Mus musculus: one gene and its partners. The main gene of each other region encodes a partner of the protein of the gene in region 3 in a complex. Links are inferred from orthologs where the notes say so. Each region holds a gene or a part of one and is shown on either strand. Other genes may lie near its edges. The genes, in order: Mybl1, Lin54, Tfdp2, Mybl2, Lin52, E2f6 and E2f1.

Evidence for each region.
Region 1: Tfdp2 (region 3) and Mybl1 share a complex: the UniProt entries of both Homo sapiens proteins name them as parts of the DREAM complex. The link is inferred for Mus musculus from reciprocal best matches to the Homo sapiens genes TFDP2 and MYBL1.
Region 2: Tfdp2 (region 3) and Lin54 share a complex: the UniProt entries of both Homo sapiens proteins name them as parts of the DREAM complex. The link is inferred for Mus musculus from reciprocal best matches to the Homo sapiens genes TFDP2 and LIN54.
Region 4: Tfdp2 (region 3) and Mybl2 share a complex: the UniProt entries of both Homo sapiens proteins name them as parts of the DREAM complex. The link is inferred for Mus musculus from reciprocal best matches to the Homo sapiens genes TFDP2 and MYBL2.
Region 5: Tfdp2 (region 3) and Lin52 share a complex: the UniProt entries of both Homo sapiens proteins name them as parts of the DREAM complex. The link is inferred for Mus musculus from reciprocal best matches to the Homo sapiens genes TFDP2 and LIN52.
Region 6: Tfdp2 (region 3) and E2f6 share a complex: the UniProt entries of both Homo sapiens proteins name them as parts of the DRTF1/E2F transcription factor complex. The link is inferred for Mus musculus from reciprocal best matches to the Homo sapiens genes TFDP2 and E2F6.
Region 7: Tfdp2 (region 3) and E2f1 share a complex: the UniProt entries of both Homo sapiens proteins name them as parts of the DRTF1/E2F transcription factor complex. The link is inferred for Mus musculus from reciprocal best matches to the Homo sapiens genes TFDP2 and E2F1.

Annotation. Positions count from the first base shown.
Region 1 is NC_000067.6:9,682,957-9,687,048, forward strand, and holds part of Mybl1 (myb-related protein A), read right to left. Parts: intron 2,855-4,092; coding exon 2,680-2,854; intron 2,557-2,679; exon of another isoform or gene 330-2,556; intron 213-329; coding exon 141-212; intron 1-140. UniProt on the Homo sapiens protein: Transcription factor that specifically recognizes the sequence 5'-YAAC[GT]G-3'.
Region 2 is NC_000071.6:100,444,824-100,448,915, reverse strand, and holds part of Lin54 (protein lin-54 homolog), read left to right. Parts: intron 1-2,189; coding exon 2,190-2,392; intron 2,393-4,092. UniProt on the Homo sapiens protein: Component of the DREAM complex, a multiprotein complex that can both act as a transcription activator or repressor depending on the context. In G0 phase, the complex binds to more than 800 promoters and is required for repression of E2F target genes.
Region 3 is NC_000075.6:96,307,556-96,311,647, forward strand, and holds part of Tfdp2 (transcription factor Dp-2), read left to right. Parts: intron 1-2,966; coding exon 2,967-3,133; intron 3,134-4,092. UniProt on the Homo sapiens protein: Can stimulate E2F-dependent transcription.
Region 4 is NC_000068.7:163,053,056-163,057,713, forward strand, and holds the start of Mybl2 (myb-related protein B), read left to right. Parts: upstream 1-1,579; 5' UTR 1,580-1,773; coding exon 1,774-1,793; intron 1,794-4,658. UniProt on the Homo sapiens protein: Transcription factor involved in the regulation of cell survival, proliferation, and differentiation. Transactivates the expression of the CLU gene.
Region 5 is NC_000078.6:84,454,421-84,458,512, forward strand, and holds part of Lin52 (protein lin-52 homolog), read left to right. Parts: intron 1-1,820; coding exon 1,821-1,895; intron 1,896-3,528; coding exon 3,529-3,566; intron 3,567-4,092.
Region 6 is NC_000078.6:16,820,797-16,824,532, forward strand, and holds part of E2f6 (transcription factor E2F6), read left to right. Parts: intron 1-1,296; coding exon 1,297-1,411; intron 1,412-3,736. UniProt on the Homo sapiens protein: Inhibitor of E2F-dependent transcription. Binds DNA cooperatively with DP proteins through the E2 recognition site, 5'-TTTC[CG]CGC-3'. Has a preference for the 5'-TTTCCCGC-3' E2F recognition site.
Region 7 is NC_000068.7:154,563,216-154,567,307, forward strand, and holds part of E2f1 (transcription factor E2F1), read right to left. Parts: intron 1,294-4,092; coding exon 1,203-1,293; intron 900-1,202; coding exon 680-899; intron 1-679. UniProt on the Homo sapiens protein: Transcription activator that binds DNA cooperatively with DP proteins through the E2 recognition site, 5'-TTTC[CG]CGC-3' found in the promoter region of a number of genes whose products are involved in cell cycle regulation or in DNA replication.

The DNA of each region.
Region 1 (4,092 bases), on a different chromosome or scaffold from region 3:
GACTGGCCTGATACTTGCTATGTAGCTCTGCTTGTTTTGAACTGTGGCAATCCTCCTGCCTCAGCTCAAAAACTGGGATTATAGGTAAGCAACACATGGTTACTATCTTCCTTTGTGGTTCTGTTACAAATTAGCCTTACCTGAATAAAGGCAGATGTCTGAACATGTTCAACACAATTGCCATCAGGCGACACATACTGATACCCAGGGATCTGAAACAAGAAGTAAAGTATTGCTAGAGGTTATACGTTTTTTTAAGAATCTGATGTCAAGAAAGGTTGTGATAAAATGTCCATTAAAAGTGGAACACTGGGAAGGATGGCACATGCCTTTAATGCTTAAGAGGTAGAGGCAGACAGAACTCTGTAAAATCTCAAGGCTAGATGTTGAGCTCCTGTATCAGAAAAACAAAACAAAACAAAAAACCAACAACAAAACAAAAACCTGGAGACTGAATATTGTCTAGCAACTTTGAAAACTCATAACTACAATAGTTTTTTATTTAATAATTGTATCATCTGTCCTTAGAATCTACTGATAAAACCCTAAGTGTAGGAAATAACCTACATTTAGATTTGTATTTTTGTCTTTTGATTTTATGAGACAGGGTTTTGTCTTGAAGCCCAAGCAAGCTGGAGCTAACTATATAGCTGAGACTGGTCTCAAAGTCCTGGTCCTCCTGCCCTCACCTCCCCAGTGCTGAAATTACAGGTATATATCACCACACTTGGCTTCCAGTCCTGGTTCTATCAGCCAATTGTCTGTTACCAACATCATCTACCATATGTTTTAAAAAGTCAGCTTTTGAGGGCTCCCCTAATGCCTACAGAAGATAATAAATTGTGTTCATACTCTTATCACCACCTACTATCAATCTCTAAGAAAAAAAGAAAAGAGGGCTTTTTCTGTTACTCAAGTAGAAACCAATCAGAGTCAGGCATGTAGTCCTAACAGACACTCTGACAGCACACTAAGTATCACTGCCTCATTCCTAAAACATTGGTAATAAAAATTGTAAAGTTTATTTTAATTTAGGGGCACTAATAAAATGTATGAGATGTTTGTAAAAAAAAATCTGGCAATCAAATACAAATAAGTATAATCTGTCTACTTTCTATATTGGCCTAAATCATCATCTAATGCAAAAATCATTCTATCTGAGCTCTAACCTAGAGGTTAGCTGTGACAATACTCAATTAGGATCAGTTATTGCTCAACTTGGAAGCTCCAATAGATTAGGAACTTATTTTTCTCAAAGTTTTCAATGAAAATTTGCCACAGTATTTCAAACCAACATATTTTTTCTTCACACTTCTTAAGAAAAACTAAATTATCCATTTTTGTTTTTGTTTTTGTTTTTAGAGACAGGGTTTCTCTGTGTAGCCCTGGCTGTCCTAGAACTCTCTCTGTAGACCAGGCTGGCCTCGAACTCAGAAATCCGCCTGCCTCTGCCTCCCAAGTGCTGGGATTAAAGGCATGCGCCAAAGTTGCCAGGCTAGAATTATCTTCTTAATAGTTTAAAATTTAAATTATATAAAGTTTTCAAAATTGTTAAATGGGAAACAATTCTTAATATTTTAAACACTACCCTTATCCTCTTCAACACACTGTGGTTGAGATTGTCAAACACTCCCTTGGCAACAAGTAATTTTTAAAATTATCTTTCTGTAAGTCAAAAAAACTTTAAATGGTAATTTTTCTAAGACAGAAGCAAAACCTTGCTGTTTACACTATTGAAATCTAAAACTTTAAAGAAAATGTTTTAAAAACAAAACATTAAAATCCTTAAGGTCAAATGACAGCAGTTAACTACACTGCTGTAGTCCCATGTTTTCCTATTTATAAATTAAGATGTGACTACTTTGTTTCTTTTAAAAGTAAGTCTAAAAGAACTTAGTAATGTTCATAAAAAGTAGAATGAAATGAAACCTGAGGCTTAGGAAGCAGACTTTAACACTGTGCCCAAGTCTATCTTTTGTGAGATACTACTTGGTCCTAACAGCCTTTTACATTTTATGTAAAAAGAACTAAGAACTGTCTACTATAAATACATATACAGACAGGGGAAAGCAAGTCTTATGAAGATCACTAAACATATTTCTTACAGGTGGGTAAATGTGTGTTGTAGGGGACAAGACAGAGAGCTCCCTGAATTTGAATTTGGGTAACCTCTAATGAGTCTGTCTAAATGAAGGCTAAATCACTCAGGCAAAGAGCAGTGTAACAAGATCAAAGATCAGCTATTTACTGTTTCCCAAAGGACTGTTTCCATGATCGTTTTACTACTTCTCCTTTAGACTGCTCTGTACACACCTGTGAGATAGGCAATACTACATTACACAGAACAATGTTGGAGGAGAAATGACATAGATGTTAAAGCACATCTTTATGTCCATAAATGAAATGAATTAAAGAGTACTATTATATGCACGCACTATATTTCTCAATGTGGAAATCACATATAGAAGGAAACTTTCAAGTGAAATTTGTACTAAAATATTTGTCAAAATTATGGCTTACTTTTTCAGATTAGAAATTTAAGTCTATCCATGTCACTCCCCAAAACAAAATTTACTTGTCCTAAAAAAAAAAAAAAAAAAAGCCCAACCCAATCCAATAGTTCCCATATAGCAACTAAAGAACTTGTTTTTAAATAATAAAGATATTAAAAATATGTGCCTGAACAGGAATGTAAAACTGATTCTGGGTTTGCAAATGGTCCATAGTCGCACAAGGTTTGTGTTGAAGTTTTGATGAAGACCGCTCTGATTTTATTCCATCTTGTAAATAGCCCTCCTGTTCCACTTTTCTTCGCATGGTAGAATTCCAATGATTTTTGATAGAATTATCAGTCCTAAGAAATGAAAGTATATAATTTTAAAAGGGGAAAGGAATTCTACAAATTTTAGCACAAACTTGAACAAATATATAAGACTTTTTTTTTTTTTTTTGGTTTTTCGAGACAGGGTTTCTCTGTCTAGCCCTAGCTGTCCTGGAACTCACTTTGTAGACCAGGCTGGCCTCGAACTCAGAAATCCGCCTGCCTCTGCCTCCCAAGTGCTGGGATTAAAGGCGTGGGCCACCACAGCCCGGCTTATAAGACATATTTTTACAACTGGTAAAATTGAGTATTTAGTCCCTTGTGTCACCGAGGTTAAATTCTCACTGAAAGCATAGTAACACAGAAGAAAGACAAAAACAAAGAAATAAAAAACAAGATTATCATTGCAGTGGGGTTAAGTCTGGATAGGTGGACCAGAAAGATCTCTAGCCACGAGACCTCAAAGAGGAGATGAGCTGCCAGTACAAGAACAGGAAAAAAGGCAGGCGTAGGATCATCTGCCTGAAGGTAACAGATGAGGGAATTCAAGGCTAGCCTGGACAACATAGTAAGAGCCTGTCTCAAAAACAAAAAATAAAAGAAAGAGCCTCTGGATAAAAGGCATACCAAGTACAAAGGCCTTGCAACAGGAAATGGGAAAAAAAACCCAAACTGCCAAAAAACAAAAACAAAAAACAAAAAACAAAAAACAAAAAAAAAAAATCATGCTTGTTTAGTTGTCTATAATGAATGAGGCCCTGGGGTCAATCCTCAATTCCATTAAGAAGAGACAGGAAGAAAAAGAAAAGTACAAGTTACAGATTTCAAATATTCTTAACTATTTCTCAGAATATTATATTTTTAAACAATGAGTTCATCAGCTCCCTTTTTGCCCAAGGTTCTTTTTATAAAGATGAACCTAAAGCTATTTGTAGTATAAATTTCATTCTGCATAAAATATACACTTACTAGAAACCCACTCTGTTAAAGCACTAAGTGAGGTTCTACACAGAGTAAAAAGGTGCATAAAATACTGAATATATCAGAAGTTCACAGCCCAGGGATAGTAACTTGGACAAAAGAAAATATAATACTGCATCTTAATTTCCTATGAAACAAAGCATTAATGTTTCCTTTACATATTTCTAAAGTATACAAAGATTAAGGAATGCATATAAAAGCATATTAGTTACTATAAGTACTACATAGAGACTATAGCTATGAAGCATGAGGATATGTATTCTGAGTTAAGATATGAAATTGCCTAAGAT
Region 2 (4,092 bases), on a different chromosome or scaffold from region 3:
CCTCGAACTCAGAAATCCGCCTGCCTTTGCCTCCCGAGTGCTGGGATCAAAGACGTGCGCCACCACTGCCTGGCTGATCACTGCGAGTTTAAGGCTGGCTTTGAATACCTAATGAGATCTTGTCTTAACAAAAACGGTGCTGGGCGGTCACAGTGGCACATAGTTTTAATCACAGCTCTCAAGCTAACCTGATTGATATTGAGTTGTAGACCAGCCATTGGTACATAGACAGACCCTATCTCAAAGAATAAAGAGGGGGAGGGTAGATGTGCTGGCTTGTCTTTAATCCCAGAAGTTGGGCAGTAGTGGCAGGTGACTTTGTAGAAGTTCAACACCAGCCTGCTTTATATAACTTCCAGGCCAGCCAGAGGTACATGGTGAGACCTGTGTACGGAAACCAAACAGAAGAACAAAGGTGAAAACTGGAAAAAGAATTTACAAGTAGGCTAGAGAGATGGCTCAGCAGTTAAGCAGTTACTGAATTTGGTTCTTAGTACCCACACAATCACTTTATAATTATATGTAACTCCAGGTCCAGGGAATCTAGTGCCCCTATGGCCTCTTCAGACATTAGGCACGCACATGAGGAAAGAAAGATCTAGCAGAGTCAGCTGGGTGCAGTGTCCATATCTGCCATTCCAGCATTCAAGAGGATTAACTTGCTAGATTCTATAGAAAGGACAGAGTTTTCTTTATTTAGTTAACTAGACATGGACTTATCGAAGAAAATGCAGCTCAAAAGCAATAGTTAAATTGTCCAAGAGTTAAGTGTGAAAACAGTGTGCTTTGCCTTTTATGGCCTTCCCCATCACACTGAAGCTCAGCACTGTGGTGCAAGCCTTAAACCCAGCACACAGGAAGCAGAGCCTGGTAGATCTCTGTGAATTCAAGAATAGCCTGGTTTACATAGTCAATTCCAGGACATCCAGAGCTATATAGAGAGCTCGCTATCATCTCAAAAACAACCAATATATTGTTTTGGGAAATAGTAAAAGAGTATAGTGCATTCTCTTTGTTGTTGGTAACCTAGGAAGCCTTAGTGTGCACATTGTTGCTGAGGTGGAGGTGTTCTGGATAATCTAGGAAGCCTTAGTGTGCATATTGTTGCTGAGGGAGAGGTGTTAGGCTGCAAAAGCAACCTAACCATGACACTTAATGAAGTCTCTTCAAAAGAAATTTGTCTTCAGAGAAATAGAAGCTGTATTTAGACATTTCTCCTTACAAAAAACCATTATGAATTGCTTTTGTTTCTCATGAACTATAAACAAAATGCACACCCATTATTAGGTAAATGAATGAGCCAAAACTGTGGCCCCTGATACCAGGGATCCTGCTGTGGTAGCTGGAGAAGGAGTTTCATGAAGTGTGGGGCAAGGGCACACTGAAGTAGGAGGGCCATTTTGTAAAACAAGCTAAAAGGGAGAGTTCTGTATTCATTACTTGCTGCGTGTACCCAAAGTCTGGGTTTTCGAGATTATTTTTTGTTCTGTTTGTATTATTTTGCAGCAGGGTCTCAAGTAGCCTAGGCTGGCCTTGAATTTACTCTATAGCTTAGGATGGCCTTGAACTAGGGACTATCCTGCTTCCCTTTTTCAGGTGTTAGGATTATAGATGTGGGCCGTCAGCCCTAGCTTCAGTCTGTGCTTCCATGTAAGCATACTTTATATTTTTACATAGGCGAGCACACTGGTTTATGGATGAGTTACTGAAGGGCTTGGGAAACTGGTTCAGTGGAGGAGGAAACAAGAGTGCCTGAGATCTCCTTTCCTTTGTCCTGATGAGATAAGGTCTCACGATCTTTCTGCCTTGTCTGTACCAAGCCCAGCTATGAAAACTTTTAAATGTGCAATTGTGAGTTTATATACGTGAGAGGTCACAGTCATGTTAATGGTGATTTCATTGAGTAGAATCTTAGTGATTTTAAAAATATTTTTATGTCTTATATTCATTCAGGAGAAAATGTTAGTCCTACATGGGTCATCAGTGGGAGAGAGTGGGAAGGCCTGAGGTGAAGCACTGTTCTCAGTTTAATCCTTGATTTACCCACAGGCATAGCCATTGTGAGCAGAAACTGCTTCATCTAAGATACCTGTTGACAAGCTAATGCTATTATTTTTCTGTTGAGGAATCTACTTACTGTGATATTTTCTGCTTTTGATTTGGAAACTTTTCTTTTGTAAATCTTTCAGGCAAAAATAATGTGTTCTTCTATATGCAAATGCATCGGCTGTAAGAATTTTGAAGAAAGCCCAGAACGGAAGACATTGATGCACTTAGCAGATGCGGCTGAAGTAAGGGTCCAGCAGCAGACAGCAGCGAAGACCAAGCTGTCCTCTCAGATCTCAGACCTCCTTACAAGGCCAACCCCAGCTCTCAACAGTGCAGGAGGGAAGTAAGTCAGCTTCACCCGGAACCTCTCTCTAGCTGATGCTCAGACGGTCCTTGTTAGTAAGGGTTCTTCCTAGGGTGACAAAGTTAATTCCGCTCTCTAAGCTGTTGCCAACCTGAATTTTCCATTTCCTTCCATCTCACTTACTGGGGCTGGAGAGATGGCTCAGCGGGTAAGAACACTGACTGCTCTTCCGAAGGTCCTGAGTTTAATTCCCAGCAACCACATGGTGGTTCACAACCATCTGTGATGAGATCTGATGCCCTCTTCTGGGGTGTCTGAAGACAGCTACAGTGTACTTACATATAATAATAAATAAATAAATCTTAAAAAAAAAAAAAGAAGAGCTACAAATATAAAGCCAGACTGAGCCACAAAGTAAGATCCTATCCCTAACAATAAAAAGGGAAAAAGCAACCCTAATAAGCAAAGCATTCTGAACTGTTTTGTGGGTTTTCTGAGACAGGGTTTCTCTGTGTAGCCCTGGCTGTCCTGGAACTCACTCAGTAGACCAGGCTGGCCTCGAACTCATAAATTCGCTGTCTCTGCCTCTCAAGTGCTGGGATTAAAGGTGTGCGCCACCACTGCCCGGCTTTTTTTTTTTTTTTTTTTAAGATTTATTTTTTATTTATTATATGTAAGTACACTGTAGCTGTCTTCAGACACACTCTAGAAGAGGGCATCAGATCTCATTACAGATGGTTGTGAGCCACCATGTGGTTGCTGGGAATTGAACTCAGGACCTTCGGAAGAGCACTCAGTGCTCTTAACCGCCGAGCCATCTCTCCAGCCTTGTAGCTCTTCTACCTCAGCCCCAGAGACAGACAGACAGACAGACAGACAGACAGACACACACACACACACACACACACACACACACACACAGTAAGTGCACACTGTAATTAAAGCTATGCTTTTGAGAAATTGTATACAGCTGGGCAAGATGGAGCTGATTGATCACCAGAACACACGTCAGAAGGCTGGGTGTGAGCCTGAGACAGGCAAATCCCAGGGCTCATGGGCTGACTTCGTAACCTCCTAGGTGAATCTCAGGCCAGCTGCAGCTGAGCCCTTCCTCAAAAGACAAGGTAGACTGTGCCCAACGAGAACCATCCAAAGTTGTCTCCTCCACTTGTACCCACACGTACACGCACATGTTTACTTTCTCTCTCCCTCCCTCTCTCTCTCTCTCTCTCTCTCTCTCTCTCTCACACACACACACACACACACACACACGCACACACACACACACACACAAATATACTAAGAGAAAGACAAAAACAGTAGGGTGATACCAGCATGCTCACCTAAATTTGTTGATGTCTTTTTCCCCTCTCCTTCCCATTTTTTAATAATACGAGCATTTTTGTTATTATTACTATTATTTTACAATTTTTACTGTTTTGCTATTTACTATTATTACTAATATTTTATTATTATCACTAATAAGATAAATTATATAATATTCTTACAGTAAAACATTTCAACCTCCCCCCCAAATTTATAGTAATAGTTTCTAAAGTGCCTTTTTAAAAGTTCAGTATTCCAGTTACACGTGTGTGACAATCTGAGGTTCAGTTACTCTTGGGCCTTAATTTCTGACTTGGTGGAGTTTCAGTGATCTGCTAGGGCTGCTACAGGATGCTGTTAGTCCTTAGATTGTTAGTTACTTGAGCTAATTTCTCTCAGGCTTTGAAACTACT
Region 3 (4,092 bases):
GTGCTCAGATGAAAAAGTGTGTGCCTTAGCACCTGCTGCGTTTGCTTATTACTCACTACGTGAACAGTAAACTCCTGCTTTAGGCTGGGGAGATGGTACAGTGCGTAAAGTGCTTACCCCACAAACATGGAGTCCCTGAGTGTGGATCCCCCTCGCCCACATAAAAGCTGGTGTCCCAGGCTTACTATAGCCCTAGCTGTAGGGCAGGGTGGGTGAGGATAATGATAACAAAGACAGGTTCGCCAGGGCTTGCCGGCCAGGCAGACGGCAAGCATCAGGTTCAGTGAGAAAACTTGTCATAAAAAAATAAGTGGAAAGTAACAGAGGAGCTTTGAAAATATTTTTAACAATTTAAATAATTGACACCATTCACTTTAGCAAGTAAGAGATAGTACTTTTCAGAGTAGAGCGTTCATTCTATCTTACCCTTCCTCTGGCAGAAGTTAGAGGTACACAGAGGATGAGATGAGTCCGGCTGTGGGTTAGAGCTGCAGCTCTGCCTGCTCTGTGGAGCAGGGTGGAGGAAAACCAGCTCTCTCACCTCTCTGCCCTCCGCTGCCCTCGGCTGCGAGAATACTTTTCAACAGTCCTGTTCATTGCATCGTTTTATTAGTGTGAGCTGCTGTTCTTGGGGATCAGCAGCTTTCATTCTTTAAATTTCTTAGCCTCTCTTGAGATCTCATTGCTTCCTCCACAAAAAAAAAAAAAAAAAAAAATTAGGGCCAGCAAGATAACTCAGTAGATAAAGGTGCTTGGCTGCTCTTCCAGAGGTCCTCAGTTCTATTCCCAGCAACCACATGGTGGCTCACAACCATCAGTAATGGGATCTGATGCCCTCTTCTGGTGTGTCTGAAGACAGCTACATATATGCATTAAATAAATAAATAAATAAAATGGATTCAAGAACTAAAAAATTAAAATCAGTTATTTACTTTATAATTTATAAAAGCTAGAGATAAATTCACACAATATCTAGCCCAGTAAAATGTTATGTGTCAAGATTATTATTCACAGCCACCAACTTCAGAAACCTATGTCAGGAAGGACTGCTAACTAACATCCTAACACCAAAGTCTTCACAACGGCTAACATCTCTGGAAGCAACCTATAAATGTCAGACTGTAACACATCTCGGCAATTACTTTCTAAAGCTAGTCTCGTCTTTTATGAGGGAATATGAAATTACCTTCTTAGGTTGAAGGGCTTCAGCAGCTGAGCGTGTAGCACATAACCTCAGGAGGTTGAGCACAGGATTGGGATAAGCTGGTCAGCATTGATCAACCAGGAGAACTGCGTAAGAGACTTGTCTGAAAAACAATTTAAATAATAAAAATTAAAAAATAAAGAGTGTCAGGAAAATTGGGAACCATTGACCTTAGCAGATTATGGGCACTGTTCACCCAGGCTAGAATCTATTTTGGTTCTGTGCCTTGGGTGGTCGCTGACTCATGCCTTGCCTGGCATCCATTCATGAATAGCTTGTACACGCTTGTTGTTTGAGGTAGGTCACTAATCTTGTCTGTCAATTGCTTTGTGAAGCAATCTTACCCTTAATTAGCCAGGAGGCTTTCCCACAGTGAAATTAAGTTTACAAAGCCATCTGCATTATATGGAAGGGATGCCTGAAATCAGCCCTCTGGCAAGGTACCCACTTCAGATGAACTTTAAGCTTGGTAACGTATTTTATTCAGACTCATATACTTAGCATTTTGCTTCAAGTTATAGATTTTTCCTGGTGTAAGATGTAGTAAGATGAAATCTCAACTTCACATGATTTTACTAGAGAATTCCATAACAAGGTAAAACTCACTACTTGAGGCCTGAACTGGAAGTCAGTTAGTTCTGTCCTTCCACAGAATATGTCCTGGGGATCAAGCTTCAGCTATTTCTTGCTGTCCCTATCTTTGCTTCTTGATTGTTGTTCTGTATAGCTAGACATCTGAACTGACTACCTTTCAAGGAAGTCCTGATTGGTGCTGTGTACTTTTTATATGGTAATTTTTATTTGCTTGTGACAGATTCTCACTCTGTAGCCTAGGCTTCCAAGTGATGGTATTTCAAGTACAAGCCACCCTGCTCAGCCCTGTGACACTGACAAGATTTATTCTTTAGCTTCTCAAGACAGGATTAACTGGGTTTGGTTTGTTAAAAATGTCTTCCATTTAATTCAAGTATGTTTAGCACAAGGGCCTCAAGTCCCAACTATCTAGAAGGATCTCTTGAGTCCAGGAGTTTAAGTTTAAACTACAGTGTGGTACAACCCATCTTAAAAGAAAGGTCTTTATGCTTGACAGAAGTATGCTGTGTCTAGCCTGTGACTCAGGAAAATGAATTAAGCATCCAAAATGGTTCCTCAAGACCAATCAACCAGTCTGTTAGAGATACAAACCAAGTTAGAAAGGCTTTTCTCTATAGCAAAGCTGTAGACAACTTTGGAGAGTACTGTCTCTAGGACAGAGTTTCTCTCTCCCCTCGTGTAACATTACCGGGGCTTTAGTGGACTTGTGTGGCCAGCTGACCTGGAAAGGTTACGAAGGCTTTGCTTGAGAATGGCCGTGTGCCCTGCTGCTGTTCTAAGTGCTCTTTATGGCGGCTGAGCTTAGGCTCTTGTTCCATTATTTAAGTGCAGAAAAGGCTGGGGTATAGTTCAGAAGGCTTTTGTCAAGCAATCATAAGGCCTTGGGCTCCTTCCTTGCACCACAAAAAGTAAATTAAACAAAGCATAGGATATAAAATCTGTCAGAGTTTCTCTGTAGCACCAAAACCCTCAAACCTCCTTTATTTCTTAAAGACAAACTGATGATGTGTTTAGGGTGTGCGTGTGCGTGCGTGCGTGCGTGCGTGTGTGTGTGTGTGTGTGTGTGTGTGTGTGTGTGTGTATGTGTGTGTGTACATGTGATCTAAGCACTGAACTCCCTGTCTGGCACCTTGACCTCCCTCACCCCTGTACCTGCTCTGTTTTGCAGATTTGAATACCTTTTTAATTTTGATAACACCTTTGAGATCCACGACGACATAGAGGTACTGAAGCGGATGGGAATGTCCTTTGGTCTGGAGTCAGGCAAATGCTCTCTGGAGGATCTGAAAATCGCAAAATCCCTGGTTCCAAAAGCTTTAGAAGGCTATATTACAGGTATGCTAGCCACACTAACAGATCCCTGACTGAACCTCTCACTCACTTGTTAAATCTTCACACAGAATGCAGCAATTTAGAGACTCAGGACTGGCTTCACCAGGGGCATCCTTTAGTACTTTTTATAGTTAAGTTTGTTACTTGAAAAATGGAACCCACATCTAAACATAAGGTTTATGTATCGTTATATACAGCTGTACCCAGGGGACCCAGGCTAGTTTAATATAACCTATGCTTTGACTGTGGCCTGTCACATGAGCTCCAATTTTACACTTTTGGCATTATGTCAGTGCTTAGAAATTTTCAGATTTTGGAACATTTCAGATTTGAAATTTCTCAATTTGTACCAATTCCTTCCACTTTATAGATGTACCACAGTTTCATCCATTCATCAGTTGGTACACATTAGGTTCTTTAGGATTTTGGGCTATTTTGAATGATACTACTTTTAAACATTTTTATGGGCTGATGAGATGGCTCAGCCAGTAAGAGCACTGACTGCTTTTACCAAAGGTCCTGAGTTCAAATCCCAGCAACCACATGGTGACTCACAACCACCTGTAATAAGATCTGACACCCTCTTCTGGTGTGTCTGAAGTCAGCTATAGTGTACCTATATATAATAATAAATAACTCTTTTAAAAATTTTTATAAGCATTTTGTTTTATAAACATATTTTTGGCTTTGTTGGAGTAAAACTTGGATTTTTTTTTAAGTGCCAAATGGTTATTACAATGACTATACCATTGTACAATCCTCCTAAGCAATGTATGAGGCTTCTGGGTTTTGGTTTTTTTTTAAACATCCTTCTCACTATCCTCCCCACCCCAGTTTGGTACTAGTGATTGACTGCATGGCTCTGCATGATAAAGATACAACCTACCACCAAGTTCCTTCCAGCCCTGTTTGTCCTTATAGTTTCACACTCTGGACATGAAGTGGTAAATCATGGTGATTTT
Region 4 (4,658 bases), on a different chromosome or scaffold from region 3:
AGTTAGCTTGTGTCACCACCATTCCTACAGAAGTCCTTGGACCTCATTCCTTTTTGTACCCCAGGAAGCTTCAAACGTCTGAGCCTTTGTATGATGTCATTATTTTACAGGACTCCAATGGATATGCAAGTAATTAAACCTGAGTTTCCTCCCGTTAATCTATTTCCTATCCATTTAATTTGCAAACAAGCCAAAGATGCTAGGAGGAAAGCCATTTGCCCTTTCCTTACCCCTTTCCTTACTATAAACTCTAGAACTACAGTTTGGGGAAGTCAGTGCCTCAGTTTCTCCATCTGCTATCGGGTAATACAAGCATATAACTCATTGGGTTGTTATGAAGATCAAAGGTTTCTATGAACTGTTTTTGTAGGTGAGGAAGCAGGCATGGAGAAGTTTGATAATTTGAGATAATGGAACTAGGGAAAGGTAGGCTGGGAATCACCCCCGAGGAGATCTCACTGTAAAGCACACTAGCCGTGAAGAGCAGCGATCCACATGAACTCCTTTGAAGGGAGAGGGGTGGGGGGAAGCCTTGAATTAAGCCAGGTGAAAACTTGTAGCTTTCAAGTCTTCATCCTTCTGTAGTAAATGAAGTTTTCGGAGTTGTACTGTCTAAAAGGGGCCAGCAGTTTTTGGAAAGAGATCTGAGGCCTGAGCCTAAAGGGCATTTGGCTGGGGTTCTTCCAGGCTCCTATCCTTTCAGGGAGTCCCAGTAAGATGACACTCAGTTTTTAGGTAGTAAATGACAACCTGAAAGAGACAACCCTTGCCATCAGAAATTGAACGTAAGCCAACAAGCCTTCCCCCTGGGCTTAATACATTTCCTAGGAAAGGCTGCTGGGATCCCAGAATGCTCACAGTTCAGCAGAGGAAATGCGCACAAATGCAAGCAGATGGGCAGGAGACCCCAGTCGGGGAAGATGTGGGGAGTTCCTGGTCCAAATACGGCCCAAGCAAAAGCTGCAAGACTTAATTTCGCCTCTCTGTGTCTTGGCGTGGTGATCTGGAAGGCCGTTACTAAATGGAGTTACAAAGATTTAACCCGGACAGAAGAGAGGTTTAAGTTTGGTGAGAGAAATGTTGGGATTTTGAGCTGGGTCTCTCTGAGGCAGCTGAAGAAGCAAGAGGCTTGCAAAGGAAAAGATACAAACCCAGTCAAAGGGAGCATGGGGGCTCTAGGGATAGTGGCTTGGACCGTCCCAAGCAGTGACAATTTGGGCGGGAAGTTTCTCCTATTCAGTTCTTCCAGTCTTTGCTATGTGTGTGGCTCGGGGTCTATCTAAGATTCACACAGAGCCAGGCCTCGCGCCTCATTGAATCCCTAAGGTAGGTGTATCTGGACACAGTAGATTGCCAACTAACAGAGCATCTGCCCGCTTGCACATTCGGTTTCTGCCCTCCGGTAAACCACTCCCCTCTTCCCCATGCTTGGGCTCCGCCCCTACAGTAGGCCCCTCCTAGGGTTCTGGCGCGCGGGCTCCGCCCCTCGTGTCTTGTACGCTTCGCCCCTTCCGTATGCTCCGCCCCTGCGCTCGCGCGCCAGGGCCGGGCGGCGCCGACGCACTTGGCGGGAGATAGGAAAGTGGTTCTGTGCGCTCCCTAGGCAGCTGCAGTTCCTGGGAACGTGCGACCAGACCTGCAGACACGCTGACGCCTGAGAGCACCGCCTGGGGCCCGGAGCGGCTCGAGCAGCCTGAGTCCTGACCCCGGCCCGGCTCCCGCTCCGGGCTCGGCCGGCGGGCGTAAGGGTGCGGCGGGGTCCGGGCCGGGGGGATGTCTCGGCGGACGCGCTGGTGAGAGGCTGCGGGCGCGCTGGGGTCCTCTCCCTTCTCCTTGGGTCGGCAAGCGTGAGATGGGGATCCCCGGGAGAAATGCACCCTGCGCCGCCCGATGCAGGGGCGCGCGCCACGTTAAGAGGCTATCGGGACCCCCTCGCTCGGTTCCTGGGCCTCCTGGGCCCGGGAGTCTGAAAGCGCGGGTTCCCCCTCTAGACCGGGTCCCAGCCCTGGGTGAGGTCCATCATCTCCCGCCTAATTGCAGGGTGGGGAAGGAAGGCTGTCGCTCGCGGTGTCAGCTGGAGGCCCATTACTGGGTAGGGAGAATGTCTCCCCTTGTCGCAGCGAGTGGAAGGCAGAAGCCTGGGAGACACTTGTCGATCAAGAGTGGCTCGAATTTGCTGGCGTTCCTTTCTTGTTAGCATTCCGGGAAGCACAAAGCCCCTGGGCCCTCCGCGGGATGCGAGACGGGGAATTCGTTGTCTCATGGGGTTTCGGCGGCCGGTTCGGTTTGGTTTCAGAAGCCTTCTTCCTGTCCCACGCTAGTTTTGGGCAGTTGGGGATGAGTAAAGACTATTGGTGTGCAACGAGACTGCTCTGCTAGCAGCCTCTGAGCCAAAGGCAGGAACTGGGTTTCCCTCTTAGTTCCCTAGAGGTTAGGTGGCTGGGTCAAGTCTGGACTTTTGGGACACCTGTGTATCTGGGGCCTAATCGCGGGGCTTTCCAGCCTTTCTAAGGCGTGGGATAATTGGGTTCTGCTGTGTTCCTTCTGGGTCTTTCCAATTCAGAACGCCTTTCCACCGTCTTCAGATGGCCGAACCTGGCCTAGGATGAAGATAAGGCACAGAGATGCCTGCTTGCTTACTTGCAGAGTTCTTCGTGGCTGGGTTGGGTATTGGTTTGGTCTGTGGGTGCTGATCAGGGTGGCTTCCCATGCCCCGGTGTCTAGGACAGTTCAGTGCCCAGGAAGGGCATCTGGAAGTACTAATCCCAGAGCCCCGGGCTTATCTGAGGGTCTCTTTTGTGAAGTGTGGACTCTGTGCCCCTGCATCCTCACGAGCCTTTCTCTGCCACATGGTGTGACTCCCTGTACCCCAGTGGCCCACTTCCCTCTTGGCCTCTGACTCACCTTTCCCTGGAGCATAGCCCAGAACGTACAAGGGCAAGAGAAAGGGTATGTGTATATACAAAAGTGTGACTTTTCTTTAAACAGCACACTGGCCTCTGCTTTTCATGCTACGGTTCCTAGGGAGGTTAGGGTGTAAAAATGTGGAGCTTGGTGTGACATAATCGTTGTCGGCCTCACTTTTCCCGTCTGTTAAATGGAGCCCTTGAGAATGCGCAAGAAGGTGTGTGACTGATGGATACTCCCATCTGTTTAATAGTGTGACCATGCCGGGTAGCAGCAACACATGTCTTTAATCACAGCACTCAGGCAGGTGAATCTCTTCAGTATACAGGACAGCATGGTTTGCAGAGTGAGTTCCAGGGCAGCCAAGGCAACATAGAGATACCTATCTCAAAGGACCCCCGCCCTCCAAATACTGTCACTATTACACAGCACTGAGGCTTCAGGCTCTCTTACACAGAGCCTTTTCCCTAGGACACCGGCTGAGCTTCTAATAGAATCTGGGCCTCGTGCTGGGTTTTGGAGAAGCAAACTCAACTGATAATGTTTAGTAGATTTTGCCTCCTGCTTTACAATGGTAGGTGGGGCGTGCATTGGGTCAGCACTGACAATACAAATCTGCTTTCTGGATTCTGTGACGCGTATTGCTAGGCTTAGGAACTTCTTTTCGTTTTCGTCGGGATTTTTTTTTAGAATTGTTTCGTAGGCAGCATCTTTGCAAGTATCCATTCATTCACAAATCCACTCCTTCCCTGGGCAAATATTTCTTTAGGCCTTTTCTGTGCCAAATTCCAGGATGTGAAGTTGGAGCTGACCTTTGTGGGTGAAGTCAAGAGCAGAGGTTGGGGCTGAGGGCTGGACCTGGCTTTCCAGAGTGCTTGTATGTGTGTAGGAGTGACAGGGAGGGAGGCTGTGCTGAGTGTGAGGGAAGACAGGGAGGGCTGTGCAGACACCAACGCTGCACACTTGTGGGCACAAAGTGTGGCTCGTCTTGCTCGTTTGGAAATCTCTACTCTTCCCAGTTACATATGACTGACTAACCTTTCGTATTTGCTCGAGGTGACCGAGTGCAGGTCCCGGGGAAGGATTAACCAAGTTCTGTGAAAAACTGGTTGTTTGCCTTTCTCCCTTAGTTATGTATCTGTGGGTGGTTTTGTGCACTTGCGTGTAGGTGCCCACAGAGGCCAGAGTGGCTGGACCCTTCTGGAGCTGGGAGGTTGTGGGAAGGGTGCTGGAGGCTGAATTTAGGTCCTCATCAAGGGCAGTATGTTCCTTAGTGGAGCCAGCTCTCCAGTCCCTAACTAGCATTCATAGTGTGATCTCCTTCCTCAAACCATCAAACTAGGCAATAGGATTTTGATAGCAGGTAAAATATTCCATGTTAGCCAGGTGATAGTGGTGCGTGCCTTTAAACCCAGCAGGGAGGCAGAGACAGGCCGATCTCTGAGTCTACGATTGAGTTCCAGGATAGCTACGGCTACACAGAGAAACTTTGTCTTGAAAAACAAACAAAAACAACGAAAACTTCCATGTTAGTTTTTTTTTTTTTTAAAGCCTCCAGACATCAAATAATTGTATTCTGAGTTTTATGCTCTCCCTTAATTGTGCCCACGTGCAGTCAAGAATTGGAAAGAATGAACAAAGTTAGGCTTGGTGTGGTGGAATAGGCCTTTAATCCAGATAAAAAGAAAGGAAAACCTTGGGCTGGAGAGGTGGCTCAGTGGTGAAGAGCACTGACTGCTCTTCTAAAGGTC
Region 5 (4,092 bases), on a different chromosome or scaffold from region 3:
TGAGTGGAGCAGAGTGAAGGAGGAGTCACTAAGAGGAAACAAGCGCAGCAGTTTCATGAAAGCATCTCATGCTGTGGGAGGTCATAGCAGGGACACATAGAAGTGGGACGGTCTGGCAAAGGGAAGCTTGATAACAGTAGTTTCAATGCACTAGGGACTGAACTAAGAGTTTTATAGGTTAGAGGGTGTAGGTCCTGGGGAGATGATACATTGTAGGTAAGCAGCTAGCTTTGCAAATATGAGGACCTGAGTTGGAAGCCAGGCATGGTTGTACCACCAGCTCTGTGGGTGTGGGGAGGGTATGCCCAGAAACAGCTGGATCCTGAGAGCATGCTGGCCAGCTAGCTTCTTAGTGAGCCACTAATAGACAAAATAAAAACATTTAGCATCCTTTTTGGTGTTTATTGTCATATGCCTATTTGTAGACTTATTACATCCATATATGCATGTGTGCATGCACACACACACACAGAGTGTGAGGTGTGAGAGTAAGGACAACGGGATACCCAGGAGGGAGGCTATGAGTTTAAAGGGAGAGTTTGCATGTTTCTGTGTGTGTCTGCACTCAGACATGCATATGGATACTGGTGCATGTGTGTACATACATGTGGAGACTTGGTTAACATTAAGTATAGTTTCGCTCTTTCTCTCATTTGTTTACTTATTTTTATGAGACAGGGTTTCACTATGTAGCCCTGGCTGTCCTGGGTCTTACTTTGTGTACAGGCTGGCCTCAAACTCAAAGATCTACCTGCTTCTGCCTCCCTTGTGCTGGGATTAAAGTCATTCACCACCATCACACAGCAAAGTGCTCTTTTAATAAGTGAAAAGGGAGATAAATTCTAGATCAGGCTTGCTTGTTGGCTCTGAGTCTAAAATAGAAACTTCTGCTACAAGAAGACTGTCTGAAGTGCTTATTAAAGCTGAAGACAGTGGTCTACAGTCAAGATTATCTTTGTTGAGAGCAGTGACACTTAGCTGACTGTAACTGGAGACAAGTTGAAGAGTGTAGGAAGACAGGTGGGTTTGCTGACACTCTTCTTTACAAGGGGTTTTGCTGTAGTCTGGGCTGGTCTCTCAATGCTCCTGCCTTAGTCTCCCAAATGCTGGGATTATATGTGTCAATCACCATGTCCACCTGATACCCATTTAAAAAAAAGTTTATGTGTATAGGTATTTTGATTGCATGTATTTCTTTGTACTACATGTATGCTAATTGGAATTATGGACAGTTGTTAGCTGCATGAGGTGCTGCGGATTGAACATAGGACCTCTGGAAGAGCAATCCATGCTCTTAACCACTGAGCCCTGATTTACTTACTTACTTACTTTCTTTCTTTCTTTCTTTCTTTCTTTTTTTTTTTTTTTTTTTTTTTTTGGTTTTTCGAGACAGGGATTCTTTGTATAGCCCTGGCTGTCCTGGAGCTCACTTTGTAGACCAGGCTGGCCTTGAACTCAGAAATCCTCCTGCCTCTGCCTCCCGAGTGCTGGGATTAAAGGCGTATGCCACCCCGCCTGGCTGAGCCCTGACTTTCTTTTTCTTTTTCTTTTCTTTTTTTTTTTTTTTGTTTGTTTGTTTGTTTTTTTCTTTTGAGACCTGACTTTCTTAAACACTTATTTTAATAAAGTGGAAGTCTGAGTTTTGATGAGGGAGAATCAAATTTATTTGTATTACATCATGCCCCAATAGGGCTTCAGGGAATCAATAGTTGAGACCTCTGAACTTCTAATTGAGTGTTTCAGGCTATGTTCTTTGAGATTGAAATATAATAAAATGAGAATGAATGCATTTCTCATCCCATCTTGGTGTTTGGTTCTAGGGACGGATTTGGAAGCATCTTTGCTAAGTTTTGAGAAACTTGACCGTGCCTCACCAGATCTCTGGCCAGAACAGCGTGAGTTATGACTTTTCTCATAGTAGAATTGACGCAGGAGAGCCGGCGCTCCCTTGGGAGAATTTTATAGTGTTATCATGGATCTGATGACTAAAATTTTTATTTTGGTTTAAAGAGAAGAGATTGATGTACAGTAAAAATAGGGACTTAGTGGTTTAACTTTTCAGAACATTGCAAGAAGTGATAATGAGCTTTTAAACAAAATTATAGTTTTAAAACGATATATCTGAATTTCAGACAATACTGAGATGCACAAAGCATTTGTTCATCTCCTTTAGTGAAATAGTTAAATATTGTTTGTAATTTTATTACAGACTTGTTTGGACTTTTTTATACGTGTACAGATAAGCATATACATATGTATGTTATGTATTGTCTGCATGTATATCACACAGGAATTTTTGGTTTTCATAGTGATGATGTAATATGTATAGAGCTTTCAGCTTAACTTATTTCAACAGGAAATTTGATGGATCGTTCCATGTTGATCTTTGTAGGTCTGCTTCATTGTTTTATGTATATTACAGTGGACAGGTATATTCTAGCTTCTATATTCACATTCTATTTGGAAACCTAACTTACCTCATTTGTATTTCACAGGCAGTGTATCAGTGAGTATCCTTGCATATCTATCCTGTATGTAGAAGAGGATGACTGCCCATTTTCTCACTAGCCAGTGTCACTCCTCATTGTTATGTTTAACTTGCATTTCTTTTAGGTTAAATTATATTCATTATTGGGCTGAGGGAAGCAGCCACGTGCCATGACGCATGTGTGGAAATCAGAGGACAGCTGGTCCGAGTCAGTTCTGGCCTTTTACCATAAGCCTGAGACTCTACAGTTCAGGTTGTTGGCTTGGTGGCAAGTGCCTCTCTCCACTGAGCCCCAGCTTGTATTTCTTAGTTAACAGAATTGAACATTATTTCCCTCTACCTTTGTATTTTAGCTGCTTTGCTTTTTAATGTGGTAGTATCCATGAGGCATTTGCATAAATAAACCAAACAGGACAACTGAAAAGAATGTTTAGCTTATTTATATTACTTATTTATTAGTAGCCCTGGGGTTCAAACCAAGGTCATGTGCATGCTAGAAAAGCACTCTATCCTTGGTCTAAATCGCTAGCTCTGGAGAGGGGGTTAAAACTGAGGCGAGAGATAGCTTACTGTTCTCAGGCCCAGTCCTGGCCCTTTAAAGCGGGAGGCAGTGGTTTCTCAGAGAAGCTTCTTCCGCCCCTTCGCTCCCATGAGAGCTTATTTGTTTGTTCTTGTCTTCCTGTGACACCTGATGCTTTTCTGAAGTGCTTAAGTGATGCTGATAATATATGCTCTGTCTTTTTCTAGAGTGTAAGCTACTTGAAGGCAAGATTTGGTTTTCAGTTTTTTAGGTTTTTGGTTTGTCCGTTTGTGTTTTGTTCTTTTCAGACAAGGTTTCTTTGTGTAGCCATGGCTGGCCTGGAACTTGCTCTATAGCCCAGAGTGGCCTTGAACTCACAGAGATCCCCCTGTGTCAGCCTCCTGAGTGCTGGGATTAAAGGTGTGCACCACCACCATCACCCAGCATTTCTTTATTATTTAAGTCCTCAGTGCCTAAACACAAATGCTTCCTACATGAGTAACTTTTTTTTCTTTTTTAGTACCAGGTGTCGCTGAATTTGCAGCTTCTTTCAAAAGTGTAAGTAAAACAACTTCTGTCTGTGGAAGTTTATCCAAAGTTTGCTCTTGGGTAAAAGGCTCAAATCTTTATTTTCAAGACTAGTGTCATAGTCTTCTAATCCTTTTTTGACTTTAGACTTTTAAATATGTTTAGATTATCAGACTGCTAGCTGCTGATAATCCCTTTCTCTGCTTAAATGTTTCACTTTGCCATTCTGACCCTTGCCTGTGAGCCTCTTTGCTCAGCTCATAGGCTTTAAGGTCAAACATCTGAAATACTTGATGTAACACTGGGGTTCTGTTCACCCCAACTATAACATTGAAGCCTCCCACCCCCCATTTAATGTAGGAGTTGGTTCCCTCTTTTTAGTATTGAGCTTCCTGGGGTTTGACTTCAGGTCATCAGGTTTGGCAGCAAGCTCACTCACTACCTGCTGCACCATCACACTGGCCTGATGGTGGTGGTGGTGGTGGTGGTGGTTTTTTAATTCATTAGCTCTGTTTTTTCTCGTAGTCCTTCTTAATGACCTGGGCTTGGTTTTTGC
Region 6 (3,736 bases), on a different chromosome or scaffold from region 3:
AAGCTTCATGGAGCAGGAACCAGAAGAGGCTGGCCCTCTGCACCTGCCTCTCCCAGGCCCCCAGCTGGCTGTCCTGCTCTCTGTGACTTTCAGTGTCCTCTGTGAGTGTCAGTAATTCTGAGTTGGCCCTGAATTCCTGCCCGCCTCCCTGCTCTCCGTGGCAGTGAAATCCTATTACCACAGGACAGGTCTTAGAAAATCTGAGCCAAGGCTTGCAGTGCCGCAGCCAGCCAGAATCTGTAGTCTAAAAGGAAGGAAGGCAGAGCAACTGCACCGAGTGACCGCTGTATCTGCCAACACGGGAGCAGCTGAAAGGCAGTGTTCAGTCAGTGTTCTTAAAGGAAATGTTGGCTGCTGCATGGCGGCACCGAGAGCTTCCTGGGAGCTCTTCCTGTTTGCAGACGTGGTTTCCCTGCCTTCTGGAGGACGCTCACCCAAACCGTGACTGTTTACCTCTCAAGCTCTCATAGAGCTAAGTAACAGTGAGTGAGAATTTACACTGAATGCACTGTAGCTGGGGATTTGATCATAGTGGGCTCCCCTTTCCTGTGGCTTTGCTTTCTGTAATCTCTGCTGCAGCTATCATCTAAAAATATTAAGGAAAAATTCTACAAGTAACTTGTTTTTAAATAATTTGCGGTCTGCTGTATGTTATAATTATACTCTTACTATTGATTTCTTACTGTGCCTGGTTATAAATTTAACCTTACTGTGGTACTGTATGCACAGTCTATGTATGGTTTGCTGTTAGTCGGTGGCTTTGGGCATCTGCTGGGGATTTGTAACATCTACCCCCAGCCCCACCCCAAGGACAAGGGGATATCTACCTTCATGAGTAGTATTTATGTTCAGGATTCGGGCTTTATTAATGTTTTTTCTCCAGAAATTGCTGTAATCAATATTTGGTTTAAAGAAGTTCTTCGAATTACAAATACATAAAACACCATAAAATCTTAAGAATTCTTTTTGAAATAATTATTTTGAAGCTTTTTTTTTTTTCTGTTTCCCTTCATTGTAAGGTTGTATTCCATAAAAGCTAAGCTATTCTTATACCTGCATTCATGTAAGAGATAGTGATGTGTGTAGTGGTGCACGCCTTCATTCCCAGCACTCAGGAGGCAGAGAAACGCAGGTCTCTAAGTTCAAGGCTAGACTGGTCTATGTAGCACAGGCCAGCCAGTGCTAAACAGTGAGACTTTGCCTCCAAAAACAAAACAAAACAACAACAACAAAACGAAGGACGGTGTTGTGGGGTGGTGATCTGCCCATCTTGTCAGATCCTTGACCAGGTCTCACACTAGCGTATGTAACCTATCAGGATATTCACGGCATTCAAGCTTTCCATGAACAGATTGTCATTGCAGTGAAGGCTCCAGAGGAAACCAGACTGGATGTTCCAGCTCCCAGAGAAGTAGGTAGCGCTGCACTGCAGAGAGGGCTTAAAAAGGGAGGAGGTGGGTTGGCCGCCACAGCAGTGACCACCAAGTCACTTGTTACCATGTGCTTGTCAAGCTCTACACCTTAACTGTGAGTGAGGTAATCCCTGTAACCTTGGAGATGGGAGGGTCAGCCCAGAGAGGCAGGAGTGCACACAGTGACCACCAGGACCAGTGTAGGACAGGGTGGCTTGCAGGCGCTCTCAGCCATGTTGCTGCTGTTGGGCTGTAGGAGCGATCACACTATTGGCCTTGGGCTTCAAATTCAAAAAGTAATAGCTGGCCCAGCCAGAGCACTGGTGAGCTCGCCGAAGCCTAGGAATGAGCTGGAACACTGAGTCACAGATGTACAGCCTTCCTGAGATCAGCCTTGGTGTCGGCTGCTGCTAGCTGCTCCAGGGAAGTTTGCGTTGAGTGTGATTGTCACCAGAAGGTCACTTCGTGAGAATAGGGTCAAAACCAAAGCCGGTGACCCTTCTTAGCACAGACCAGGGAGTTCTAACAGCCCGGTGTCCCCCAGCTGCTCGTACCCAGCTCTTCATGGAGGTAGTGAGGAATAGTCACACCACCCTCCTTTCTGTTGTCCCCAGCAGAACACGGTCCAAGTGAGACCCTGTTACCTGACAGTGGATCGTTAGTCATGAAGGAGCACTAGCTTTTCCCTCAGCCACATTCAGGTTGTGACTTGGTGCCGCTCCTTAGTTTGATTTGGATTTAGACAACAATCCCAATAACATATTGAGGATGAGTTATTCCACAGATGCTGAAACCTTTTAAATTAAATAGCCACTAATCTTGAAGCGCCTCTTTTCTTTGGGGCATGGCTAATCCATTCTACAGGAATTAATGGGGTTTGGTTTCCCAGTGCTCTGAGCTGCTTGACTGTAATTGCTAAATCGCTCTGAGCCTTTGAGCTCACTCAGAGCCTCTTTTGGTCCCATTAGAACTCTGTGATTGAGGTCCTCCAGGCTGGCTGTTCTCAGCAGTGTGCTGGGTCAGTATATTCTGACTACAGAAGGCTGTAGTGGGGACTGTGTGCCTAGTATAGGGCTGGCACAGTGGCCTTCAACTCATCTGGCTTCCTACGGCTTTAAGGATCTGCTTAGATATCACCCATATGCTTTTATGCTACCGTGGCAGAGTTAAGTAGTTGTGACAGGGACAACGTGGCCCGATAGGCACCATCTCCTCCATCTCCTTTTTAAATGTTTTTGAAATCTTACATGTATGTGTATGGGTATGTGCACGTCAGTGCACATGCCCAGGGAGACCTTTGCGTTAGCTCCCCTGGAACTGGAGTTACAGATGGTTGTGACCATCCTGATATGGGTGCTAGGATCCAAATCGGATCCCTGAGAGGGGTACACACTCTGAACTGTGAGCCACCTCTTAGTTCCCCAGTAATCCCCTATACAGAATGATTCAGTGGCTGGTGGACTTTGAAGTCCTTTCCACTGACTAACAGTTGGGAGCAACATTATTTCCTTGCATTATTTAATGATGAAAGGTTTCCATTTAAACCAGGCCTGCCCTGACACTATCTAGCCTCCAAGTACAAAGTTGGTCAGTCTGTCTCACCTGTCTGGTACCAGGAAGGATATAAGAGGCTTAGAGCTCTCTAAGAAGCAAATCACACCCAGCTTGCTTGGATGGGATCCCAGAGCAGAAAGGAGCTGGAGTGACAGTGATGTCTAGACTGGCCTCTCCATGTGGATGTGGGAATGGTGGACTGGAGGAGAGCGAGGCCAGCTCCCAATGGGAAAGACAGGAAATCACAACTGAAAAAATGCCCCTTACACATTTAGCCTCTAAACACAAACAACCACATTTTTAATTTCTTAGGAGAAAACCATTGGGGTTAATAAGACCCAGGCAAAAGGATTCATTTAGTGTAGTTCCTTTGTGTGTGATGGTTCAGATTACATGAGGCTTATTTTGATTTCATCTTTTCCTCTTACATCTTTTGACTGGACAAAGACTAGCCTTCCTGTGACCTCAATGCCTCTGTAGTGGTTTGGAAACCCAGACACCTTATTGCATAATACAGTTGGTACTCCAGAGCTCCCAACACCAGAGGAGAAGAACTTCTTTGGAGGACTTTGGAGCTTTGGAGAAAGAACTCGGCTATCCGTGTGGTAGCTCCAAGACTGTCGCTGCTCACATGATGAAGCAGAGGTCTTAACTGAATTGGCCAGTGGTTTAGAATGTAGTGACAGTTGAAAGCATGCTTTTCTCAAATGCATGGTAGAAAGGAAGCTGCAAGAATTTAAGTTAACTGAAAAGCTGTGATTAGTGGATGC
Region 7 (4,092 bases), on a different chromosome or scaffold from region 3:
GCTCTGCTCCCCAGGTAGGCTTAGAGTAAGACTGGCACGGGCTCAGTAAAATGCTTGATCAGTCAACAAACACCCACCAAGGAGCCAGGTAAGAAAACAATAGCACAAACATGCCATGGAATGACACAGCTGAATTAGATACAAACGATTTGGAGACACACTATCAAGTAAAAAGAAAACAATACAGAATGAAGAATCATCTATCAAAAACCAAAGCAGATATGCCAGAGAAGGCAGCGGGATGCCTGGGGAGGCAGAAGGTACAGCAGAGAAGTAGAAACAAAACCACAAATGTATAAGGCCGATCTCAATGATGACAGCAAAAGCTGGAATGGTGTCAGCACAGCGGTCTAAGAATGGGCAACCATGGGAGAGGGAACAGGAGACCCTCAGAAAGGCATGCATGTGTGTGTGTGTGTGTGTGTGTGTGTGTGTGTGTGTGTGTGTGTGTGCGTGAGCGCGCGCGCGCGCGCGCGCTCACAAGCATTCACACGGGAAACCTTGTACAGCTATAGGGAACTGGATCTGCAAGACTTGCTCGTTCCTCCCCTTCTATCACCCCGGGGAAGGTAACTCTCTTAAGACCTTGGTTTCCCAGCTGTGGGGAATGCAGGAAGCCACTGCAAGCAATTTGGCTTGGTCTGGCTGTTACCTGCCCACCTGCCTGGTAAGTACTTACAGCCACTGGATATGATTCTTGGACTTCTTGGCAATGAGCTGGATGCCCTCCAGGACATTGGTGATGTCATAGATGCGCCGTTTCTGCACCTTCAGCACCTCAGCTGCCCAGTTCAGGTCAACGACACCGTCAGCTGAGCGGCTCAGCAGCTCCAAGAAGCGTTTGGTGGTCAGATTTAGTGAGGTTTCATAGCGTGACTTCTCCCCCGGAGATTTCACACCTGGGGGGCAGGGGTTAGGCTAGGCGGGGGTCCTCAAACACTCAGCCTGCCCCCAACAGGCCTGTCTCCCTAGCAATGTAGAGTGAGTGGCAAGATGAGGCAAATGTCTCCCTCCCCTCAGGCTAAGCAGAAAGGCTCTGTGGCTGTTGTCTGCCAACCAAAGCATTCCTCTTGTAGCTGGGCAACTCCCCACCTCCAAGGCCTGAGGAAGTCCTGTTGGGCAGCCTACTGGGGCCCCAGAGTGTACAACCATGTCCACACCCCTCCCCCAGTCTGGGCCTGAGAAGCTGGAGTCAATGGCACCTTTCCCTGGGTGGCGGCCTCTGCCCCGGAATGGCCCACTGCTACCAGCGAGGTACTGATGGTCAGTCTCCAGATCCAGCCTCCGTTTCACCTGTAGCAGAAACACAGAAAGTTGCCCAATAACCAGGACTGAGACCATAGAAGACTTAGCTAAGGACTTGGTATCCCAACCCCAGTCTGATGTCTGTTAGGATGCTAAGGTGTGCGAGCAGAGACAGATTCTGAAGGACACAGCATGAGGCTAGCATCCTACCACTCCAATCAGTCAAGCTCAAGACTGAAGACCCTGGTTCAAAATTTATGTCCAACATTACCTCCCTAGGACTGACGGTGTTTTTTAAACACACCAGCAAAGAAGAAATCATCGCTGTAATGCTAGAGGTTAATAAAGGCCCGTGAACACTACCACACAATCTACCAATTAGTCTCCTTAGCTCCTACAAATACAAGGTCTATTTAGCCCAGGCTGGCCTCAAACTTACTATGTAGCCAAGGATGACCTTGAATTTCTTATCTTCCTGCCACTAACCTCCCAAGTACTGGGCTTCCAAGCACAGGCCACCAGGCTTTCGGCTTTCAAAGATAAGGGCTAACTTTCTCCCCTTAAACGTAAGCTGGGCGTGATGGTGTCACTTCTGAGACTGGTCACTGGGACAGTGATGCTTCTTCTGAGGTGCTGGGTCGGGAGAAAGCGCTGTGCCATACTGTCAAGTAGCCCTAAAGATAAGCCCCTTTGGCAAAGAGCTAGAACTCCTCCAGGTAGGAGGAACATAGCAAGCTTGGAACAAACCCCACAACCTTAGGCCCATTTGCGACTACAGCCAGGGAGCTTTCTGGCTGCAACAGGATTCCATCTCAGGCTGGAAGCACCAGCTAAATCTCCCTCGAGTCCCGACCCACAGAGACTATACAAGTGCTTTAAGCCACCAAGGGAGGGGACAGGTCCCCCAGGCAACTTGCCTCTAGTTTTTAACTCATTTATGTATCTATAACCATGGCAGCAGCTGGAGCTCACAACAGCTTTGTGCTCAGTGTACTCTGTTCTTTGAACTGGCAACATAACAGCTCCGCTTTACAACCTATGGACAAGTGGCAGAGCCACAATTCCTACCCAGGTCTCTCTGAGAAAGACCCCAAGCTGCTAATCTCCATGCCCTTTAACATAAGAGTTCTAATTTCACAGTATTGGGAAGAAGGACGGACCTTGAAGTCCCAGGGATAGTTCAAAACACACTAACTGGACCAGACTCGCTATCCTCACACCAGCCACAGGCCTTTCTCAACTAAACCCTCTCAACCTGGCCCACCACCTGTCACATTCTTTTGCCAAGAATTCCTCCCACAGCCATTATCACCCTCCCACTGGACAGGACAGCTGTCCCCATGCTGCTCTCCCTCTACATCACTCTGCCTCAGTAAAGCCTTCCAACAGCACTCCTCACATGAACTGTGGAGATGGGCTTCTCCCAATCCCCACTCTAAGGATATCCTATGCCCCTCCTCACACCCAGAGCTGCCTCCTGCAGGACCCTTAATGCTCGATCAGTGGCTTCAGAGGGCCGTTACTCTCTATATACTGCCTCAAGCCTGGCTTTTTCCTCCATCCATTACAAACTACTAAAGATGTGTCTCTTCTCCCTGCCTACCACCTCCACCGAGAAAGTGTCACTGGACACTGGACCAATAAACCTCTGCATCCTTGTGTGCCACAAGCCTCAGTGTCAGTCAGTATGTGTGTGCTGACTAGATGTCCCCACCCTCACACTGCCACAGACTCCTGCAGACCAAGGAAGAAGACAGCATGAGATTCAGTTGATCATACACTGGCAGACACTGCTTCTGCTGTCTCTGCCAGAGCAGGGTGGTAACTAAATCCCATACATTTCCTCAGCAAACTCATATCTGATTGTTGGACCTATGCTAGCCTCCACCTTAGAAGATCTGTAGCCAGGGAGAAATCCAAGTATATGCACCCCATGGGCTGACACAGCCCCAAATACCCTTGTCCATCCCCAAAGGCATGCTTTAAAGTAAGAGCTCAAAGAGATGCTTGTTTCTGTCACTCATCTTTAGACAACCCTAGCACTGAGATCCTAAAACCCATAGGTGAAGATACAGATAGCTGAATGATTCAACCCCCTCCCCCCCCCCCCCCCACACACACACACACAGGAAGGGCACAAAAGCTTTATGCAGCCCCTGGAACAGCATGTAGTCTCAGTAACAGACCGAGGCAGGCCCAGGCCAGCACAGAATCTGCTCAGACACACAAGGAAACCACTGTGACAGGCTAACACATACATGGTCCCTTCCTGGACTAGAAATCTCAGGAGCTGTTCTCCAGTTTAGCTTCTAAGAGTGTTTCAGAAACAGGAGCGCGTCTGTGGGGGAGCCAGCGCAGACGGTTACCTCCTCTGGGCAATGTGAATGACGTACTGTTTGAACTCCTGATCCTTGGACCTCACTTAAGTACTGGGCTTTTAAAGGAGCCACCACACATGGCTCACAGCAAATTTTAGAACTATTAAAAACAAGACTGGGGCCTGGCACTTATTCAGCGTGCATTCAATTCTGGGTTCAATCCCCAACAGCATTAAGCACTCACAGCGACCAGCCAGGGATTCGTGTAATAAAACAACAGTGTCACACCTAAAACAAGGGCCCTGCAGAAGAGCTGGCTTTCTACTCTAAGCCTGGCTCTTACAGACTTAATGTATGGTACCACATACTTTCTACAGTAAACAAGAACTATAATGGGGAACCTCAGTTTCTTGCTGTTACTGTTTTGAAAGAGGGTCTTTGTAATTCGGGCTGGCTTTGAACTCAAGAAGTCAATTAACCAAAATAGGCTGTTGATATTTTATTTATTTTTGTTTGTTTGTTTTGTTTT